3 linked regions of the Neurospora crassa OR74A genome follow. The protein of the gene in region 1 interacts with the protein of each later gene in a biochemical or structural test. Links are inferred from orthologs where the notes say so. Each region holds a gene or a part of one and is shown in the gene's direction. Other genes may lie near its edges.

Region 1 (7,400 bases):
CGCTATTCGTGAGTTGACTGGAGAAACTTCTCTTGTCATGGGTGGTGATAGCAACACACCGCTGGGTTCGTTGATGGTTGTTGTTGCTAAGAGGCATTTGTAAAGCGGGGCAACCCTGCGGTCTCTTATCAACGATGCATCGTTTCTTGTTATACCTAGAAAATCAACATTGTGGGTGAACGCCTCAATCGAACGAAGAACCAAGATGAGCGGAACCCATCGGCATCAGATGTGATTATTCTGTTCCATCGCTTCGGTCGTGCTGTAGACTCGTCGCTAGCTTTTCTCATAAAAGATGGACGCCGAATAACACTATTATAATAGGCACAACGTAGCGATCCCTAGATAAGGAAACCCATATCCCCTTGACCCTTAAACACCACGCAATGCTTCCTCCTGTGATATAAACAGTGACCGTAACCCAACCAATTCCAGCCTGGCCGTTTCAGAACCGAGATCATCTGACACCCGGCCTCTACTGAAGCCTTTCCCTTGCCACACGTTTGCCCGCCATGTACATATGAAGCTACAGACATTATCGCCACGAAGAATAAGTGGTATGCATACCTCTATTAAGGCCACAGGTTCTCCTTATTCCTGTCGCCCAGACCCCTCTCCCTTTCGGCTCTTTTGCGCTGCAATCGAGCAATGGCTGCTGCCCGGCGGTCTGCGGGAAGTGTTGTGGATGCGGACGTCTTCGGAGGGGGTGTTATGCTACCGACGTTCCAGACAGAGCTGCTGTCAATGTCAAACCCTTCCAAACGCGCAATGTTTGAATGCGGCACCACATCTGGTTTGAAGGGCTCAAGATCCGGCACCTTGAAGGAGTGAGAAGTGGGAGCCTTGAATGGCTCGAGCTCGGGCACTTCGTTGGAGAGAGGCCGGGCGATACGCGTCATCCTCGTGGTTGGCAATTGAGAGCCAGCGTTAGCAGCCGCTGTTGCCGTCGCCTTAGTGCTCGTCCATGGCTTGTTCAGCTTCTTGCCTAGAATGTCCTCCAAGCTGGACTTTGTGCGGAGAGTCCTGGCAGCGGCAGATGAGCCGGCTGTCGTGGTAGTCCCTGCTGTTGTCCTATGCGAGGTGGCTGCCCGCTCAGGCTGGCTGGTCGTCCACGAAGGTGCTTGTTGCTTCGCGGCTTCACCGAATCCTAGAGGCTTTTTGCCCATGTCTGCCTCTACCTTCTCTCGAAACGCACGAGAAGAAACCAACGCATCGTCCTCGTAGCTGTACCGCTTGATGTCGCCCGTAATGGTCCTGATTCTTTTCTGGGCTCCGGCAGCTGGTGCGGGAGCCAAAAGCCCTCGTTGGATGCTTGTTTTCCTGAGAGCATCTAGCTCCTTGAACAGCAATGTGCTCTCCTCCTCGGCCGATTCCAGGAACTTGAGTGCTTCTTCTCGGTCATTTGCCTCCTTGACCTTGTCGTGGCTCGCTTTCAATTTCGCCTCCAGGTTCTTCATCCGCGCCGCCCACTTGGACTCGATCGTCTCTGCCTTGAGGGTTGCAATCTCCTGCTGAAGTTCGGATATTTTGTCGTTCTTCTTTTCCAAAACTTCCCTCGCTTCGACATATCGGGATTTGGCGTCCTCCTTCAACTTGTTATAATCTGCCCTGAGTTTTTGAAGTTCATTGTCCTTTACCAGATTCTCATTCTTGGATTCGGCCAGCCGTTTCTCCAAGTCCTTGACCTTGAAATTGCTCAGCACCACCTCACTGTTGAGTTTCTTATTCTCCTCGGCGAGTGCGGTGGCTCGTTGCTCGGCGAATTTTAGCTCAGTCTTCATTCGGCCCCGCTCGTCCCGAAGCTTTCCAAGTTCCCTAACCTGTGACCTAGCCTTCCTAAGCTCTCGCTGGGCCTCCAAAAGTGTCCGATGAGTTCTTGGCGATGCAATCCGTCGTTTGTATGAAGCATGGCTCCCGGCCTGATAGTCATTATGATCCTCTTCATCTTCGCGCAGTATCTCTTCCAATTCCTCGACCTGGGCCCTGTACTCTTGCGCCAAAGCCTTTTGCCGATTAAGCTCTTCTATCAAGCCGTTGTTGGGCTCGACACCACCTCGCTTCGAATAGACATTGACGTGGCGCGTCATCTCGGCAATTTGCTCCTCCATTTGCTGGACCCTCTCCTGTTCCTCCTTGAGCTTCTTGTTCAAGTCGACGGCCTCGGCATCTTTCAGTTTGGCGTAGGACTTTGCGAGCTGCTTGTATCTAACCAGCTTCTCCATTTCCGCCCTCGCATCCGCGTGATACTTTTCGAACTCGGCCTTCCAGTACCTTCCAGAACGCGAGTGTGGTTCGTTGAGATCGACTGTGGCATCTGTGATATCTGTTTCGAGATCCGAGTCGTCATAATACTCGACATCATCTTCATCCCATGCATCTTCGGCCGAAAACGTCTTGACACCAGTATCTGCGGTTTGCGGCCTGGTCCGTGAATTTTCGAGAATTTCGGTCAATCGGGTCTTTGGTTTCGAGGCCTGACCGTCAGTGCCAAGGCCGCCCGTCGCGGTCAAATCCAGGGCCGATCCCGCCTTAACGCCATGACCAAAGGAAACGCGTTTGCGACGGGCTGCGCCGACGCCTGGAGTCAAGAGAATGCCGTTCGGTTTCGTCGGTGATCGATGAGGACCGGGCATAGGGGCGGTTTTCTTCGAATCTTTGGCGGGTGTGCCGAACAAGGCAGTCTTCAAGGCGCGCACAGCGAAGACCGGCGCTGGAGTATCGGGGACATCGAGCTGGTTGGTAGATTCATCTGGGCCAAATGGTCAGACTCAACAATGAGGAATAAATGCGCTGAGGCTCCTGCAATGGCCTGCAACCGTACCGGCATCGGGTGCGCCCTGTGCATTTTGCGCAGTCGAGTTATTGTTTCGCCGCAACGCCCAACTAATCATTGTGTCGGTCGGCGATGGATGAAGAAGCTGAAGCGAGGTCTAGCGCAGCATACTCTGGGCGGTCGGCGATGGGGGAAATAGGCCCCTCGAATACGATTCGCGCGATAAGGTGGGAGAATTGGTTGATGGTGGTGATGGAGGTTGTAGAGGTAAGAATGGGATCGGATTCGCGGGCTGCAGTTGTGTGTCGCAGCTGAGTCGAGAGCAATGGGAGTGGAAGAACTAATCCTGTTTGATGGGCGAGTGGGTGATTTGTTTACTCTTTCCCTGAACAGGACAGACGGGAGCCAATGAGAATCGGGATGAGAAGTGGAGGACGAACGGGATGGATGAAGCTGACCTGATGGCTCGTCCCGCCATCCATCCGTTCAGCGTCCTGTCAGTGTGGTCCAGTGCCATTCAGTTCCAAGCAAACAGACGGGAGCGCGGCAAAGATCTCAATTCAGGTTCAGATTCCCAAGTGGGACCTACTGCAGGGTCTCCACTTGTGCCTCTATCATGTATTCTTTGCTCCGACCCCACTTGCAAGTGTTCGCCACGGTCCATCCATCCCTCGGCCGGTGAACCTTGAGAACCTGGAACCCGCTACCCAGCTACCTACATACCTAGCCTAGGCACCTGCTGTGAAGATAAGTACACTACATATGTCGTGAGGTAGGTAGTACTGGACTGCCCGTACCCGCTCACAGCGGTGGGAACTTCCTAGTTAACAAAGTACTTAGTTTATCGGGACTCGCTGGGGGAACCTTATCAGCCAGGCTCGAGCTGAACAGCGGAATGGATGCTGTTGTCGTGGACTCGGGCTCTGGACCATCCTGTTGTTGGGGACCTTCACGGGTCTTCATTTCCATTCCAAGTCACAGTTGGAGTCATCCAACGAGTCACCCACTCACTTGTCCACTTCACCCATCTTACATCCATCCATCTCCTCTGCTCCCACTCACTTTTGGAAACGCGACCGTTGACCACGTCACTTCGTTTCCACCCAACCTTCACCCTTGCCCTTCCACCTTGTCTTCCCTTTCCCGCATCTGAACCCAGTCTACCACGAGAAAAGATGGGCTCCGCTCAGTGAAGTCTCGCAGCCATCTCGGCTGTGTCCGTTGCATAAGGCCTAATATACCAGACCAACCCCCTTTCCACAACGACTAACAAGACTCACTGATTAATAACAAGCATCTCTGCCCAGCAGAACCGGGTCTCGCAATAATGGCGTGGAAGAAACCTGCCGGCAAGAAGAAGCCTGCCCAACAACAAACCCCCAAGAAGAACAATGAAGGCAACACCACTTTCCCGGGGCTCAAGGCCCCGGGGCAAACCCCACCAGCAAAGACTCATTATCAGGAAGTCCAGGAGAGTGAAGTCATGGTGCTGCAGGCCATCTATGGAGAGGACTTCACCCAACATGAAGCAGCACACGGGGCATGGCAGGTAAGATCTATCTTATCTCTTCTCTTCCCACAATGTTGTTCACTGACAGACGTCCAGAAATCGGAACCCCGTTTTGACATCAAGATTAAACCTTCATCTGACCAAGAGCTTTCAGTGACACTGGGCGTGGTCATGGTGGCAACTTACCCAAAGACACCTCCACTGCTGACCATCAAGGATGACCACAGTCTCCGAGAGTCGACCAAGTTCAAGATTCAAAAGTTTGTGGAGACACAACCAAAGATCTATGCGCAAGCGGAACAGGAGATGATAGACCAGATTGTCGAAGGGATCCGCGATATCCTGGAGGAAGCCGCTCAGAAAAAGGTCCAGGGGCTGGAGATCCCCTCCTTGGAAGAGGAGAGGGCAGCCCACGAAGCAGAGCTGGCAAGGTTAGCGCAGAGCGAAAAGGAGCGAGAGGAACGGAAGAAGCTCGAAGAGAGCAAGGAGGAAGAAAGAGTCCTCGAAGACATGCTCCAGGAAGAGCTCAAGCGCCAGCGAAATAAAGCAAAAGAATCCAGAAAGAAGAACAGGAGCCATCAATTATCCCCTGACCGTGCTCCGCAAGATCCCGGCGAGACTGACGAGACGCTCATGTTTGATCAGCCCTGCAAGATCACTGATGGCTCTGGTAATGCCTTGTTCTTCCAAACCGTCATTGGCAAAACTGTCTTTCGCGAAGGTCCCATCACCACCGTCTACAAGGTCAAACCAGTCCTGTCCGCCAGAACAGTGCGCCCTAGCCTAGCCTTGAAGCAAGTAGAAGTCAAGTCACACGGAAAGGATTCGGCTCAGTTCAAGAAGCAGCTGCAGTATCTAGAGTCGCAGATGGAAACACTGAAAAAGCTTCGCCATCAGAATCTGCTTCCCTTCCTTGACTTCAGGATCGATCGAGGCATCAGCGACACCGATTCTTCTGCGCCGACCATCTGGACCGTCAGCATTCTGACGCCCCTCGCCACCAAGGGGCCCATTGAAGAGCTTCTCGATCTAGCGGGCCATATTGACACCAACAAGGCAAAGATATGGACGGCCGACCTTCTGGAAGCACTTGCATTCCTACACAACAACGGAATCATTCATCAAGACCTTCACCCAGCCAACATTCTCCTCTACAGAAACGAGGCGGGGGATATAGTGCCTAAAATCACTGATTCTTTTTATCAGAGGGAGCTTCACAACCTCTGTACAAAGATAAAGACGCTGACATCCTCAAAAGCCGCCAAATCCGCATACTGGTTTCCGCCCGAAATTGCAGGTGTAACGAAGCCTCAATACACTCAAAAGACCGATGTCTGGGACTTTGGCATCGTCTTTCTTCAGATGATCTTCGGTTTGGATGTTGTCGAAAAGTATCATTCGCCTTCCGCACTGATGGATTCTCTTTCCTTGTCGGCTCCGCTGGAAGAACTGGTCTCCAAGTTCTTCAAGTCCGACCCCAAGAAGCGGCCGCGGGCTTTTGAGTTGAGCTCAAGCGAATTCCTTGCTACCAATGCGCCCATTATCGATGACGAGGACATTGCTGTGCCGGGTTCCCTGATGCCCATGCCGCAAATGACCCCGCAGAGGATGAGGCACGACTCGATGAGTCGCGGACCCATGTCTTCCAGATACCGACAGGACTATGTGGAAGAGGCTCGTCTTGGAAAAGGAGGGTTCGGAGAGGTTGTCCGAGCCCGCAAGATGATTGACGGACACCTATACGCCATCAAAAAAATCACACAAAGGTCTCAAGAGACACTTTCAGAGATCCTAAAGGAAGTCCGACTGCTTTCCCAGATGAACCATCCGGCTGTTGTCAGATACTACAATACATGGCTGGAGGAGGTGCCGGACTACGCGGACACAGAAGGCGATACTTCAACCGAAGGCGGCGCTACAGACGTTACAGACAACTCTCAGGTCACGATATCCCACGGCATAAATATTGAATTTGCCGAGAGCAAAAGCAGAGGTCTAGATTTCATGTCCTCCAGTGGGCACCCGGGCATTGAGTACGACTACAGCTCGAGTGAAGAAGAGGATGACGACGAAGATGAAGACGATGAAGAGGATGAATCCGACAATGACTCAAATGACGATGCTGCCACTGTAAGCGGCAAGAACCACCTTGGTGTCACAGGACGGCGTCCTCGACGGGGAAGTGCTCGCCCATACAAGACCGTGATGTATATTTCCATGGAGTATTGCGAGAAGCGGGTAGGTTCCCATTATGCCAAAACCAAAATCCGAATGGCAACACTGACAGTTCTATAGACACTGCGCGACTTGATTTCTCGGAATCTGTCTAAGGAAACAGCTGAGATCTGGCGCTTATTCCGCCAAATTCTAGAAGGGCTCTGCCACATTCACAGCCTCAACATCGTTCACCGTGACCTCAAGCCCGAGAATATCTTCATCTCTTCTGGACCTGACGGCCTGGATAATGTAAAGATCGGCGATTTTGGGCTGGCCACTAGCGGACAGTTGGCGATAGACAGGTCAACAGCAAGCTTGGATGCAAGCGACATGACCAGGAGCATTGGCACAGCAGTTTATGTCGCCCCTGAGGTCCGGACGGGTGGCAGCGGCTCTTATACATCAAAGGTGGATGTAGGTTTTTCCCATCCTCCTTGCAAGACTAGACTGACATCATCCCTAGATGTATTCCTTGGGCGTGATTTTCTTCGAGATGTCGTACCCTCCCATGCTTGGAATGCAGCGCGCCATGGTCCTTGAGCAGCTGCGCCAATCCCCTCCCATTTTGCCCGCTGACTTCAAACATATGGATAAAAACCATCTCGAGGTCCTGTTGTCACTGCTGACTCACAACCCTAAAGAGCGCCCTTCGAGCTCAGAGCTTATGAAGAGTGGCAAGCTTCCGATTCAGATGGAAAGCGAGGCGATACGGCGTGCGATTGCTGGATTGTCGGATCCCAACTCACCTTACTACCAAAAGATGCTCGAAACTTTATTCTCCAGGCCAATCGAACAAGCAAAGGATTACGCTTGGGACATGTCTTCATCTGGGCCATCACCCCAAGAACTCATGCGACAGTTCATCGTCAAGGACACCTTGATATCCATCTTCCGGCGACA
Region 2 (6,507 bases), on another chromosome or scaffold:
CAAGAGCCAGTACTTTACCTTTTATACCCGCGAAATTGTCGGTTCCAGGACACAGGTCCCCCCACACCAGGCCGCTGCCTTGTCCGATTTCTTCTCGAGCTTTGTCACTCTGGAGGATCTCGACAAGGAGGTCTTCCCGTCGTTGGAGAAGGGTCTGCTCAGAGCCCCTGAGGTGGTGCTCAACGACCTCATCACTCCTCTTGTCGGCGCCCTGCCACAAGACTTTGATCTTTCCGCTGCCCTGCACGGAAAGTTTGTAAAGCCCCTGCTCAACAATGTCAAATCTTCCAATGCCGTCATTCGTAGCGGCGCTGTCACCGTTTTCAAGGGCCTCGCTGCCCGGAGCAAGGACGTTGCCCTTCTTGAAAAGGTGGCTGATGAGGTTCTCAACCCACTAAAGACCGGGAAGCTCGCCTCTGCTGACCACAGAGTGCTTCACTCCGAGATGCTTGTTGCCTTGGTGGTGTCTACGGGTATTGCCAACAAGATTGCCAACGGCCTCCCTCTGGTAACAGGAAAGGAAGGAAACGAGGCAGCCTTGAGCGCCGAGACTGTTGCTCTCAACGCCAGCGCAGTCTATCTTTTGAATGCCGGCGAGGAGATACCCAAGCCTCTTGCTGATGCCTACGTCAAGGGGCTTGGCGAAAAGAAGCTGCCTGTCAGACGCACTTGGATCCTTCGCGCTGGTGATATTCTCTATGCCTTCAACAAGGAGAGCCAAGAAACTCTGCCAGCCAACTTCATCAAGTTCGCCGAGGCTGTCGTTACTCCCCTGGGAACTACTTTTGCTGAGGTCGTCGCGAACCCTGCGACTGCTGCCCAGAACGGTACTGTTACCGGCGCTCTTGTTCTTTGCGCTGTCGAGTCGCTGATTCGGAGGGCGGAGAGCTCTACCTTTGAGGCCGTCTACAAGAAGGCCAATATCCAAAAGAACAGTTTGGCCGTTAATCCCAAGCCGTCCTACCTGTTCAACCCCAGGATATACGGCAAGTTTGCCGATGAGGATCTCAAGTGGCTGACCAGCGCCTTGACTGCTGTTGCACCTTTCCTCAACGGTGTCGGTCTCCCGGAGAGGGTTGCCTGGGCTCAGGCTTTCATCTACGTTATTAGCTCGGCTGCTACTGGCCCCGATGTCCGCCGCGACGCCATTGACGCTCTTTCCACCCTCTATGCTCAGTCCTCCGCCAAGGCCGAGGGGCCATCAGCTCTCCTCGCCGAAACCATTGTCGAAGGTCTTTGGCACTGGATTGAGGCGACCGAGGCAGCTGACAAGGAAAGTGCGGCGGCTTTGGCCAAGACCGGAACCTCCAACCTCCACCTCGTCCTCAAGGCTATCTGCTTGAAGCCCGAGGAGTACCAGAAGCGTGCTGGTGCGGAGCCTGACAAGACCAAGCTCGAATCCCAAATGTGCTCTCTGCTTGTCCTTGCCAAGTCACAGCTCATCCCCAGAGCGAGCTGGATCGATCTCTGCTTGAAGGTGGAAACCGATCCTGGTGAGCTTGCCAGGAAGTACGAGCAGCGTTTGCTTGATGAGATCGTCAACAGGACACTCTACGAGCAAAAATCCGAGGCGGTGAGACTGGCGGCATACAATGCTGCTGCTGAGCTTGTCTTCGTCGCCCCTGAGACCATGACTCCTCGCATTGTTGACCTCATTCAACAAAACCTCAAGGTTTCCGAGGTCCAGTCCGTTGGCCCTCTCGAGGCGGCCATCTTCCGTACGCCTGAAGGAACCGCCTTCGTCGATGTGCTGGCCAAGAAACAGAACGTCGTTCCTAACAAGAATGATCCCAACTACCATACCCTGAAGTGGGAGGAGGAGCTTCGTGAGCAGATTGCTCAGAAGAAGGGAGTGCAAAAGAAGCTTACAGCGGAAGAAAACGCCAAAGTCAATGCCCAGCTCAAGAAGGAAGCGGAGATCCGCGAGAGCGTTAGGCACGTCGCGGCCAACCTCTTGCGTGGCTTTGGCATTGTCAAGGCTCTCGCTACTGGTCCTCCCACTGATGCCAGCCGCTGGATGGGTCCCGCGGTCAAGGCTACCCTTAGTGTCATCGATGCTGGTGCAACTCTCATCACCGGTGAGGCCGGTCCTCTGGCTTTCATCTCCTGCTCAGAGTGCGTCACGTCTCGTGTTGGCCCTATCCGCCCCTTCATTGGTGTCGCTACCCTCAGGGCGCACAATGTTTCCGCGCTGCCTGAGAACCTTACCGAGGAACCTTTTGACGATCTTATCACTCGTGCTCTCTATCGTCTCAGGTTCGCCGGTGAGCAGCGCCCGTTCGATGTCATCTCACTCATCTACATGCTCCCGCTCATCCTCCTCGTCCTCGAGAAGGGTGGCTTCGGTTCTAATGCCGATGACAAGGATGCCACGCTCGTCCTGGCCATCGAGTTCCTTTCCTTCCACACCGATGTCTATGCTGACGAGGCCACCCCACGCGCTGAGATTCTTTCCACGTTGATCACCTCGATGCAGAACTACAACCAGCACTACAAGATCATCAAGGACTGCTTCTCCGACATGGTCCGCTGCATCGCTCCCAACATTTCTGCTGAGGAGATTGCCGTCCTTTCCCGCGGTGCCATTGTGCCTCAGGTCGCCGTTCGCACTGCGGCTCTACAAGCCATCAGTTCTGATGTTGACATGAGCGAGCTCTCCACCTCGGAAGAGATCTGGCTTGCTTGCCACGACGATGTCCCGGAGAACGCTGACCTTGGTCGTGATATCTGGGAGGAGAGCGAATTCCAGGTCACCGAGGAACTTGCCTTCAAGATGCTGCCCTACTTGGAAAGCAAGGATGGCCAGCTTCGCCGTGCCGCTGCCAAGGGCCTTGCTGAGGCACTCGGGCAAAACCTCTCTGCCGTCAACCCCATCCTTGAGAAGCTGAGGGAGTCCTACACTGAGCTCGCCAAACCTCGTCTTCCCGAGCTTGATGAGTTTGGCATGCCCAAGAAGAAGGACCTTTCTGACCCCTGGGAAGCGAGACAAGGCCTTGCCCTTGCCTTCCAGGGTATTGCACCATTGCTCCAGAAGAACCAGCTCGAGCCTTTCTTTGCCTTCCTCATTGACAACGGCCCCTTGGGTGACCAGAACGGTAACGTCAGAGCCCAGATGTTGGAGGCTGCCAACACTGCCATCGAGATTCACGGCAAGTCCATCCTGGACAAGCTCATGAAGACTTTCGAGAAGACCCTTGAGGCTCCCGACAAGGGCACTGCTTTCGCGGATCGTGTCAACGAGGCTGTCATCATTATGTACGGTGCGCTGGCCCGCCATCTCAAGCACGGCGATGCCAAGATCCCTGTGGTTATTGACAGGTTGATTGCCACCCTGAGCACCCCTTCTGAGACTGTCCAGTATGCTATCGCCGAATGTCTCCCACCACTTGTCCGCACCTGCGGAGACAAGTCCAGCAAGTATATCGAGCAGGTCATTGAGACTTTGATGACTTCCAAGGATTACGCTGTCCAGCGTGGTGCCGCCTACGGTCTTGCTGGTCTTATCCTTGGCCGTGGTGTTAAGTCGCTTAAGGAGCACCGCATCTTGATCACTCTCAGAAGTGCCCTCGAGAACAAGAAGGAGGTCAACCAGCGCGAGTCTGCCATGATTGCTCTGGAGCTTCTGTCCACCATCCTCGGCAGACTCTTTGAACCCTACGTCATTCAGATCGTTCCGCAACTGCTCGCTGGCTTCGGTGATAGCAACCCGAATGTCCGTGAAGCCGCGTTGCATGCTGCCAAGTCTTGCTTTGCCAAGCTCAGCTCTTTCGGTGTCAAGAAGATTCTCCCTACCCTTCTCGATGGTCTTGACGAGGACCAGTGGAGATCCAAGAAGGGTGCTTGCGACTTGCTCGGTGCCATGGCCTACCTTGATCCCCAGCAGCTGGCTCAGAGTCTGCCGGAGATCATTCCTCCCCTTACCGCCGTCTTGAACGACAGTCACAAGGAGGTCAGACTTGCCGCCAACAAGAGCTTGAAGAGGTTCGGCGAGGTTATCGAGAACCCCGAAATTCACAGCCTTGTCGACATCCTGCTCAAGGCTCTCAGTGACCCTACCAAGTACACCGACGAAGCCTTGGACGCCCTCATCAAGGTTCAGTTCGTCCATTACCTTGATGCCCCCTCGCTGGCTCTCGTCAGCCGTATCCTACAGCGCGGTCTCGGCGATCGTTCCAACACCAAGCGCAAGGCTGCGCAGGTCATTGGCAGTCTTGCCCATCTCACAGAGCGCAAGGATCTTGTCGCTCACTTGCCTGTTCTCGTTGCCGGTCTTAAGATTGCCATCGTCGACCCCGTGCCGACTACTCGCGCTACTGCCTCTAGAGCCCTCGGATCTTTGGTCGAGAAGTTGGGCGAAGATGCTTTGCCGGACCTCATTCCGGGTCTTATGCAGACCCTCAAGTCCGACACTGGCGCCGGAGACAGACTTGGTTCCGCACAGGCCCTTTCCGAGGTCCTCGCTGGTCTGGGTACTTCCAGACTCGAGGAGACTCTGCCTACCATCCTGCAGAACGTCGAATCCTCCAAGCCTGCTGTTCGCGAGGGTTTCATGTCGCTCTTCATCTTCTTGCCCGTCTGCTTCGGAAACAGCTTCGCCAACTACTTGGCCAAGATCATTCCTCCTATCTTGTCTGGTCTTGCTGATGATGCCGAGTCGATTAGAGAGACTGCCCTCCGTGCTGGTCGTCTGTTGGTTAAGAACTTTGCCGTTAGAGCTGTCGATCTCTTGCTGCCCGAGCTTGAGCGTGGTCTTGCTGATGACAGCTACCGTATCCGTCTCAGCTCCGTCGAGCTCGTTGGTGATTTGTTGTTCAACCTTACCGGTGTCAAGGTCACTGATGGTGAAGATGAGGAAGAGGATATCGAGACTGTCAAGGAAGCCGGTGCTTCTCTCCGTGAGATTCTCGGAGAGGAAAAGCGCAACAAGGTCCTGTCCTCGCTCTACATCTGCCGTTGCGATACCTCGGGTGCCGTCCGCTCCGCTGCTGTCAGCGTGTGGAAGGCTCTTGTCCACAGTCCTCGCATTCTTAAGGAGCTTGTGCCCACTCTCACTCAGCTCATTATCCGCCGTCTCGGCAGCTCTAACATGGAGCACAAGATCATTGCCAGCAATGCTTTGGGCGAGCTGATAAGGAAGGCTGGCGACGGCGTTCTGGCGACACTCTTGCCCACTCTCGAGGAAGGTCTCCAGACCTCGAGCGATGTCGATGCCAGACAGGGTATTTGCCTTGCCCTCAAGGAGCTCATCGCTTCTGCCTCTCCCGAGGCCCTCGAGGATCACGAGAAGACGCTCATCTCGGTTGTGCGTACCGCGCTTACCGACCGCGACGAAGATGTCAGAGAAGCCGCCGCCGAGGCCTTCGATTCCTTGCAGCAGATTCTCGGCAAGCGTGCTGTCGAAGAGGTTATGCCCTTCCTTCTCACCCTTCTCGCTAATGAGGAGGAGGCTGAGAATGCTCTTGCGGCTCTGCTCACCTTGCTCACCGAGACTACTCGCTCCAACATGATACTGCCCAACCTCATCCCCAGCCTTATCAAGCCTCCTATTTCTTCCTTCAACGCCAAGGCGTTGGCTTCGTTGTCCAAGGTTGCCGGCGCGGCTATGAACCGTCGTCTGCCCAGCATCATCAACTCGCTTATGGATAACATTATCAACTGCACTGACGATACTCTCCGCGAGGAGCTTGACGAGTCGTTCGACACTGTCATCCTGTCCATCGACGAGTACGACGGTCTCAACATGGTTATGCAGACCTTGCTGCAGCTTCTCAAGCACGACGATCACCGCAGAAGAGCGTCTACCGCGTTCCACCTGTCCAAGTTCTTTGCTTCGGCCGATGTGGACTACTCGCGCTACAACCAGGATATCATCCGCTCTCTCCTGCTCTCGTTCGATGATAGGGACATGGACGTGGTCAAGTCTGCCTGGAGCGCGCTTAGCGAGTTCACCAAGAAGCTTAGGAAGGAAGACATGGAGAACTTGGTCATCTCTACTCGCCAGACCCTCCTCCAGGTTGGCGTTGCCGGCGTCAACCTGCGCGGCTTCGAGCTGCCCAAGGGTATCAACGCCATTCTCCCGATTTTCCTGCAGGGTCTTATGAACGGCTCGGCAGATCAGAGAGTGGCTTCGGCCCTTGCCATCTCGGACATTGTCGACAGGACCAGCGAGGCCTCGCTCAAGCCGTTTGTCACGCAGATTACCGGTCCGCTCATTCGTGTCGTTTCCGAACGTTCTACCGAGGTCAAGTCCGCCATTCTGCTTACCCTTAACAACTTGCTTGAGAAGATGCCTACGGCGCTCAAGCCCTTCCTGCCGCAGCTGCAGCGCACTTTTGCCAAGTCGCTCGCAGACACATCCAGCGACGTGCTCCGCAGTCGTGCCGCCAAGGCTTTGGGTACTCTTATCAAGTTTACTCCCCGCGTGGATCCTTTGATCGCCGAGCTGGTGACGGGCTCCAAGACTTCCGACGCCGGCGTCAAGACGGCCATGCTCAAGGCCCTGTACGA
Region 3 (7,503 bases), on another chromosome or scaffold:
CTTGTGACACTTACCTCCAGCTTAGAAGCAAGACCAGTGCCCTCCTCAGATGTGTGGTTGCGGGAACCTTGAGTCTCTTGGATGTCTCCAACTTCGCTTGCCCAATCCAGATGCATAATGCTGTGGTTCTCGGCGTCTTCATAGAACATGATGTCCTGGTGCTTCCTCTCAAGGAGGTGCATAACCTGTCTGAAATAATAGCCGCCCAGATCGGCATTACTCTTGGAACTTTTCGATCGTACGCTGGTTGGAATCGGGGTAGCATCCGCGCTGTCGACAGTTTTTAAACTGTTCTCGTCATGTTCGACAGAGGGGCGGGGAGCCGGAAGGCGGGCCATGCCAACGTCGGCAAGCTCATCATCGCCTCGCGTCGGTGAAGTGGCCGGCGCCGGGGGGAAAACCACGTCAGCATCGACCCACACATTATCTGTACCGGAAGTGTCGTTATTTTCGTCTTCGAGGTCAGAATCATTGGGAGGAGAGCTGCCGGGGGACCGCAGGAGGCCAAGAGGCGTCATTGCACAGCAGCGCCTTCTCCCCGATGCACGAGAGGACTCCATTACGACTTTGGTGTGTCTGGGGAGCGTGGGATGTGAATACGTCAACTGCTTGACGGCTTCAGTAGAGTGTAGTTAAGTTGCAATGCTGCAGGTCGGTATCAGCTGAACAAGTTTCAAGTGAAGGTTTGGAATTGTGGCGGGGTGACGAGGAGGAAGATGCAAGCAAAGGCGGTCGATGGAAAGCTGGCGCAAACGTGGCAAAGGCGGATGCCTGGAGGTGAAGGGATGGTTTCCCTCAAGCTGCAGTCACCTAGGGATCGGTTCCGGGCGACTTTGCAAGGTCCGTCAAAAACCCCGTGCCGAACCGCCGGCGCGCTGACAGAGGACGCGGGTGACACAACTGCTTGTATATTTGTTTCCTCCCGCCTCAGATACCGTGTCTGGCTGTCACCGCTGGACCTCCGCTGCGGGCCGTAAGCTGTAAGTCGAAGTTACCTGACCGGAAATTTTGACAACGTATTGCCTTGTTTCGATTTTCGGCCTGTTCGACCTTTTGCATGATTTGAACCCGTCCTCGGCTCGGACGTAAACCTACCAAGAACAACGATATCCAGGCGGAGATGTTTATGAAACCGTGCTGTCTGCTGACAACCCTCCAAAGTGAAGATGGGGCATCAAGATGCTCGATATTCACTCCTCGAATGCGCAGTCCCAAGTTCGCACTGAACGAAAGTCCAATGGTAGCTATAAGGAATACCGAGAACAGATAACCTGTGGCCGGCCAAGTCAATAATTTGTCCATTGAAACTCTAACATGGCGACGAAGGAGGCCCGGACATACCTGGGCCAATGGAGTACGTCTAAGTGATGTTTTCTGGAAGAAAATGGAGAATGATGTTGCTGAGACGAGCTGCGTACAGTATTCGTCATAGCCCCAGCAGCGAAGGCTTCTTACTTACTTGATGGAAGAACCGCAAATGGAAGTTGCACCTCATGACCTAGAGGTATCCCAAACCCAAATGCGGCTCTCCATGCAACGAGGAAGGTGCGGTTGGGACATCGGCACCGAGACAGTTTAGCCCTCCATACCTTGGTACCTCTACCTCTATCCCTGCCTACCTACCTCTACTTACATCGAAGTACAGCAATCTGCACTTGCCTGCAGCAAATCGACAGCTCTTCCCGTTCTTCCCATGCTTGGCATCAATCCTCCGTGTTAGGGATGCAGTGTTCATGCCGTTCAGTCAGTCCTCATCCGGACTCCATCGACGGTCACCATACAGGCAGCCGCAACTTTCACTTGATAGAGGAAACCGGAAACTGTCCGTTTTGTCATGTATCCATCAACATTGAAGTTATGGCGTGCATAAAACACCTGGACTATTTTACCCAGCAATTGCTCATGCCCGGATTGCTTCAGCGAGAGTGTGTTGGTGTGCTTTGACTGAAGCTGGAAACAACTGCCGTGTGTTATATGGGGAAACAGCATTATAGAGGGATAGAAACATGAAAGGAAAAAAAAAAAAAAAAAAAAAAAAAAAAAAAAAAAAAAAAAAAAAAAAAAAAAAAAAAAAAAAAGGGCCCGTTGTTTACGGGGGGCAAGCGGAAAACATGGAAAGCAAACAACATGGACCGCGTGGTAGGATCGTTTGTAGTGAGTGTATAGTACCTCGCGAAGAGACGAAAAGGACCGTACTGTGGCTCTCCTGGTATCATAGGATGTGTATCACAATTGCTTGGACGTCTGAACCTAGAGGTAGTAGAATAGACCTAGGTACCTAACATGAAGGACAGCACCAGCCATCAAGAAGGGTATCACTACCTTTACCCACAGATCCTCCATTTGGCAGGGCATGCGGAAGTGATGGCGCGTGTATTCTGAAAATGTTCTCCAGGAACGACCAAGCTGGAGTTCGGTAGTTTCACTTGGGTGTAACTTTCGTGCCATAGAGCATCGAGTAAAGTGGTGCCGAAACCTCACCTGAATGGAACAGGTCATAAAAATGGATAACCTCAGGTCTGTTAGGATGGCAAGTTGAGCAGAGAACGCAGTGGTGGACGTCGCCCCCGGTCCGATGTCTCTTGTCCTGAGCGTCGTCGGGGTCCTATGTCGTTGACGTTGACGTTGACGAAAAGGCAAATCGGGCAGGGGCCTTGGCCGTAACTTGGCGCGCCGCTGACTGGCCCTTGCCGCGGCTCGAACAAGGGACAACAAAGCCTAGAACACCGGGGGCCGCAACCTGTTGGGGGTGTTGGAGATCGGCTGGCCGCCGTGATAGGGCCCGTTAACATCTGATAGGCTCGCCCTGGTCCCTACGGGGCTTACGGGTACGGTCACTAACGTCTGTCACCGAATGTCACCGAGACTCTGAAGGGAACACGGCCCCACGGCGGGGCTCCGCTGTTCAATGTTCGGTCCCCTCGAGGTCCTCCGCTGCCAATCTAGAATAGAGGTCCGTGTGGCAGAGGTCTGAATCAGCGAACGGACAACCGCCGCGACCTCGAAATGCATAAAGCCTCCAAAAAAGTTAGAGATCGCCCAAACGGAAGGCGAACAACTCGTCCGCGCCGTCTTGCTGGACTATCTCTAGGTGTTTTTTTAAGTGTATATTCTACGGTCATATTGCCCATTAGTGCAGTCCTCGTCACATTGTTTAGCTCCCGTCTGCTGTTTGGTCGGGTGGCCAGTGCCCGTGCCAATGCCCAATTGAATATCGATGCTGCAGTGACATGTCGAAAGAAAAGGAAGAAAAAAAAAAAGAAAAAAAAAAGTGTAGGTAAGAGATATGGAAAAAAAACCAAAAAAACCGAAACCACGATACCTGTGGAACCGCGTCCGTATCGTAACTTTCTTCGCGTCCACCTTCTCTGCCATTCTCCATTGTCCTACTTTTCCTCCCTTTCTCCTAACCCACCTCTCCCCTCTTTTTTCCTCTCCCCCCCGTCAACCACACTCGCACCGCCTTTGCCAATTCCTTCCCTGAGGGTGCTTCTCTTCATCGTTCACGTTCCTGAATTCGGTCGATTTTTATTCTTCTTGGATCTCCACCACGGCGTGTGCCCTTTGTTCCTCGCCGCCGTCCAAAGCAACATCGCATTGTTGTCCCATCGTCACGGTCTCCCTTCGTTGGCAACCTGCGATTCAAGATCTGATATCTTCCGCCTCCCGCCCCCCCGTCCCTGAGTCGCTTTCCACCACCACCTAGGACTCAGCAAGAAAAAGCGTCGCTTTGTGTTGCACTGTCGAATTCTGCTCTGCTTCTGCCAGTCGAGTTTCTACCTTTGCGCAATCACCATTGTTGTGTTGCGCCAGATCGATACTCCCCCAACTCCGCCTTCGCCAACACACAACCAAAGCTTACGAGCTCCGCCTCTCGCAGCTTCGACACCAAGCGTGACCCGTTTCGAACACCGAAAAAAAAAGGTCCGCCTCTTGCTCGCAGCGACGACTCCAGTCCCCCGGGAAAAGGAGCCAGGTAACGAAACGAATCCCACACCGCTTTCTGCAAACCGCGATCACCTGTGACTTTCGCTAGTCATGGCCAATCCGTTGCAGCTCGCCTACCGAACCCAGAAGGCCATCGGCGTCTTTGATGCCGACCCTGTCTACGAAGCCCTTCCTGGATTCACCAAGCCCGAAGGGAATCTCCGGTGCTGTGTCTACTCGGGATGCGGCCGCTACTTTGCCTACGCCACTAACGAGGGCGTCGTCATCGTCGACGCGTCCGTCGGCCACGTCTTGACTTCGCTGCCCATCCCTGCCGTCTACGAACTCAGCTTCTCCCCCCACGGTACCTACTTGAGCACCTGGGAGCGCCCCGCCAAGGATGAGAATGGCGATGCTACCAAGAATCTCAAGATCTGGCGCACCATTGAGGAGCTCGCTGATGGTGCTGAGAAGCAGCCCATTGGCAAGTTCGTCCAAAAGTCTGCTAATGGCTGGAACCTGCAGTACACGGAGGATGAGCGCTTCTGCGCGCGCATCGTCACCAACGAGGTCCAGTTCTACAACAGCAACGATCTCGGCACCGTGTGGAACAAGCTGCGCGTTGAGGGCGTCTCCGACTTTGCCCTCGCGCCCGGTAAGAACCAGAACGTTGCTGTTTTCGTCCCAGAGCGCAAGGTACGTTACCTGATCTCCCGTATGCATCGCACTTTTCTATATCAACGTCTAACTGTTGGTTACAGGGACATCCCGCCTCCGTCAAGGTCTTCAACGTTCCCCAGTTCACCAGCCCGATTTCGCAAAAGACCTTTTTCAAGGCCGACAAAGTCCAGCTCAAGTGGAACCAGCTCGGAACTGCTCTGATTGTGCTGGCGCAAACAGAGGTTGACAAGTCCAACAAAAGCTACTACGGCGAGACCAACATGTACCTCCTGAGCGCCAACGGCTCGTTCGACGCTCGCGTCACTCTTGACAAGGAGGGCCCTATCCACGATGTGTCGTGGTCCCCCAACTCCAAGGAGTTCGGTGTCGTATACGGCTACATGCCCGCGAAAACCACCATCTTCAACCACCGTGCCGTCGCCACCCACTCCTTCCCTCTTGGCCCCCGTAACACCATCATCTTCTCGCCTACTGGCCGGTTTGCCTTGGTTGCCGGTTTCGGTAACTTGGCTGGTCAGATCGATGTTTACGACCTTGAGAAGGATTATCGCAAGATCACCACCATCGAAAGCGGTAACCCCAGTGTCTGCACCTGGTCTCCCGACAGCCGTTACATCTTGACGGCCACTACTTCTCCCCGTCTTCGTGTTGACAACGGCATCAAGCTCTGGCACGTTGGTGGCGGTATCATGTACAACGAGGACATGGTTGAGTTGTACAACGTTATCTGGCGCCCTGTTCCTGCTAACAACCTTCCCAACGTTGACCCGCTGCACCCCGTGCCCACTCCTCACCCTTCGGCTTTGGCATACCTTGGCACTGTCAAGACGCCTTCCAAGCCCGTCGGTGCCTACCGCCCGCCCGGCGCCCGTGGCTCTTCCACTCCTCTTCACTTCAAGCGTGAGGACGAGGGAGGTGCCGCCCACTCGGTTAGCAATGGCGTGCCTCAGGTCGGTCCTAATGGGTTCGGCCGCCCGCGCCGCCAGATTCCTGGCGCCGAGTTTGCCGAGCCAGCGAGACCTTCTGTTCCCGGCGCCGCTGTGGACGATGAGAACTTGTCCAAGACTGCCTTGAAGAACAAGAAGAAGCGCAACAAGAAGGCCAAGGAGGGCCAGGCACAGGGCGAGGGCGCGACTACTCCTAACGAGGGTGGTCTTGCCCCTCCCCGCGAGTCTGTCGACGGCCGCAGCCCCGATCGCAACCACCAGCGTCACCACTCGCGCAGCCAGTCGCGCAGCAACAACCTGGCTGTCCGTACTCAGAACAACCACCGCAGCCGCTCGAACGTGCGCCAGGCCAATGCCCCTGCTCAACAGGCTGCCCCAGTCGTTGACGCCGCCGCAGCGGCTGCCCAGAGCGCCAATGCGAAGAAGATCAGGTCTCTTCAGAAGAAGATCCGCGCTATTGAGGATCTCGAGATGAGACATGCTGGTGGTGAGAAGTTGGAGGATACCCAGTTGAAGAAGATCGCCACCAAGGGCTCTGTGATTAAGGAGCTGGAGGCCCTGGAAAAGGAGGGTCATTAAATCAAAAAGGTCATGCGTCGGGGGTTGAGAAGCTTGTGAGACGGATGGAAGTAGAGTAGTGGTTATCAAGTTGGGTAGTTGAGAGTTGACTTGTGGGACTCGAAAATTCTTGTTTTGCTACGTTTCCCCAGCCAGTTGTCCGGCATATGTGAGCTTCTTTGTAAGTAGTATGCGGCGGTTATGACGATGATGTTGCTAAGAACGTATCGCTGGGGTCTCTCTGTTCCGAGTTAAGCTACGCTGGCAGTCGAACTTATGTCGGTGTGGTGCATCATGTTTTTTTTTGGGCATGCGATGAGAGGGAGAAAGTCCGACGCAGCAGGAATTCACCTTGAACATGTTTCACTTTCACCAAAGGGAAGGCGTTGAAGGAGTGGTTAGAAAAAAAAAGTATATATCGGCAAAATGAAGTTATGGCAGCCTTCAGTTACGTTGTGTCCGTGATAAGCGGTGATAAGTAATGAACCGAAGCCTTCGTCAGTCTCTAACAACCCCAAAGCGTCGTGGAACAGCTTGTGACACATGTGCCATGGACATTCCATTTGAAGGCTCGACATGGTCGCCCGTCGAAGTGGTCATACGAGTCAAAGGGCACCCAAATCCGACAGTCCGCCGGTTGCATCTCGCGATGCCATGTGCACGAGCGCAACGGGTATGGATGTTCGGACCTCGACACCACAGTACGAGTAAGTGATCAAGACAAGTACATTCATGAGAACATCAGCTCATTGAGTTTTCAACATGGGCGCGTCAGCGACAAAAAGAGCGCGACAGATCAAGGTGCGCAGGTAAATCGATGGCAGATACTCTCAGATAACAAAAGAGTTTTGCGAAGTGGGTGGAAATGTCCCAGGCAAAATATTTCTCTACTCCTCGACAGAGAAGAACAAAGGTAGAGGGTAAGAGCTTGAAAAATTCTCTTCTATCCTCCACTTTCCCCTCCAGAATGTCATTGCAGTAGACGGAAACCGGAGTGAATATGAAGGAACATATGTTTTATGTGTTGTGAAGAGAAAAAAAGAAAGAAAAAGAGGAATCCCAAAATTGGGCGGCCCGAGACAGACTTTTAAAGCAAACGCAAGCCACTCCAGTAGCTGCCGGGCTGCACCGCCTCACAGGCTACGAAACGCAAGAATTGGTGGAACTTAGCCACTGACCTCGTAGCTTGCAGTGGAGTTATGGTGCGATAAGAGATCTGACCAATCATGGCTTGTAGATAGGCGGTTGGGTAAGCCTGCGTTGCAGCCAGTGTTGCAGTGAGCAAGTGAACAGTTTACCGAGACCTCTAACGTTCAGGGTGTACATACTGTACGTCGGGTACCTGCCTTATACTGTAGAGGGATGTGTTGCGGGGCATTGATTCTCAAGT

What was found.
Region 2: the proteins of cpc-3 (region 1) and NCU05803 form a complex in vitro, tested with the Saccharomyces cerevisiae proteins (3 studies listed by BioGRID). The link is inferred for Neurospora crassa OR74A from reciprocal best matches to the Saccharomyces cerevisiae genes GCN2 and GCN1.
Region 3: of the proteins of cpc-3 (region 1) and NCU06099, one has a biochemical effect on the other in vitro, tested with the Saccharomyces cerevisiae proteins (3 studies listed by BioGRID). The link is inferred for Neurospora crassa OR74A from reciprocal best matches to the Saccharomyces cerevisiae genes GCN2 and YGR054W.

Annotation. Positions count from the first base shown.
Region 1 is NC_026505.1:3,165,632-3,173,031, forward strand, and holds the start of cpc-3 (cpc-3 protein), read left to right. Parts: upstream 1-3,474; 5' UTR 3,475-3,545; intron 3,546-3,613; 5' UTR 3,614-4,100; coding exon 4,101-4,322; intron 4,323-4,379; coding exon 4,380-6,521; intron 6,522-6,578; coding exon 6,579-6,914; intron 6,915-6,963; coding exon 6,964-7,400. Other genes in the region: NCU01186 (hypothetical protein), read right to left, coding at 573-2,749, 2,822-2,891. UniProt on the Saccharomyces cerevisiae protein: Metabolic-stress sensing protein kinase that phosphorylates the alpha subunit of eukaryotic translation initiation factor 2 (eIF-2-alpha/SUI2) on 'Ser-52' in response to low amino acid, carbon, or purine availability.
Region 2 is NC_026507.1:3,881,770-3,888,276, forward strand, and holds part of NCU05803 (translational activator GCN1), read left to right. Parts: coding exon 1-6,507. UniProt on the Saccharomyces cerevisiae protein: Ribosome collision sensor that activates a translation quality control pathway when a ribosome has stalled during translation. Directly binds to the ribosome and acts as a sentinel for colliding ribosomes.
Region 3 is NC_026507.1:1,795,562-1,803,064, reverse strand, and holds NCU06099 (hypothetical protein), read left to right. Parts: upstream 1-3,281; 5' UTR 3,282-4,038; coding exon 4,039-4,623; intron 4,624-4,688; coding exon 4,689-6,134; 3' UTR 6,135-7,123; downstream 7,124-7,503. Other genes in the region: NCU06098 (hypothetical protein), read right to left, coding at 15-605, 1,096-1,271, 1,342-1,360, 1,460-1,495. UniProt on the Saccharomyces cerevisiae protein: Functions in the early steps of protein synthesis of a small number of specific mRNAs. Acts by directing the binding of methionyl-tRNAi to 40S ribosomal subunits.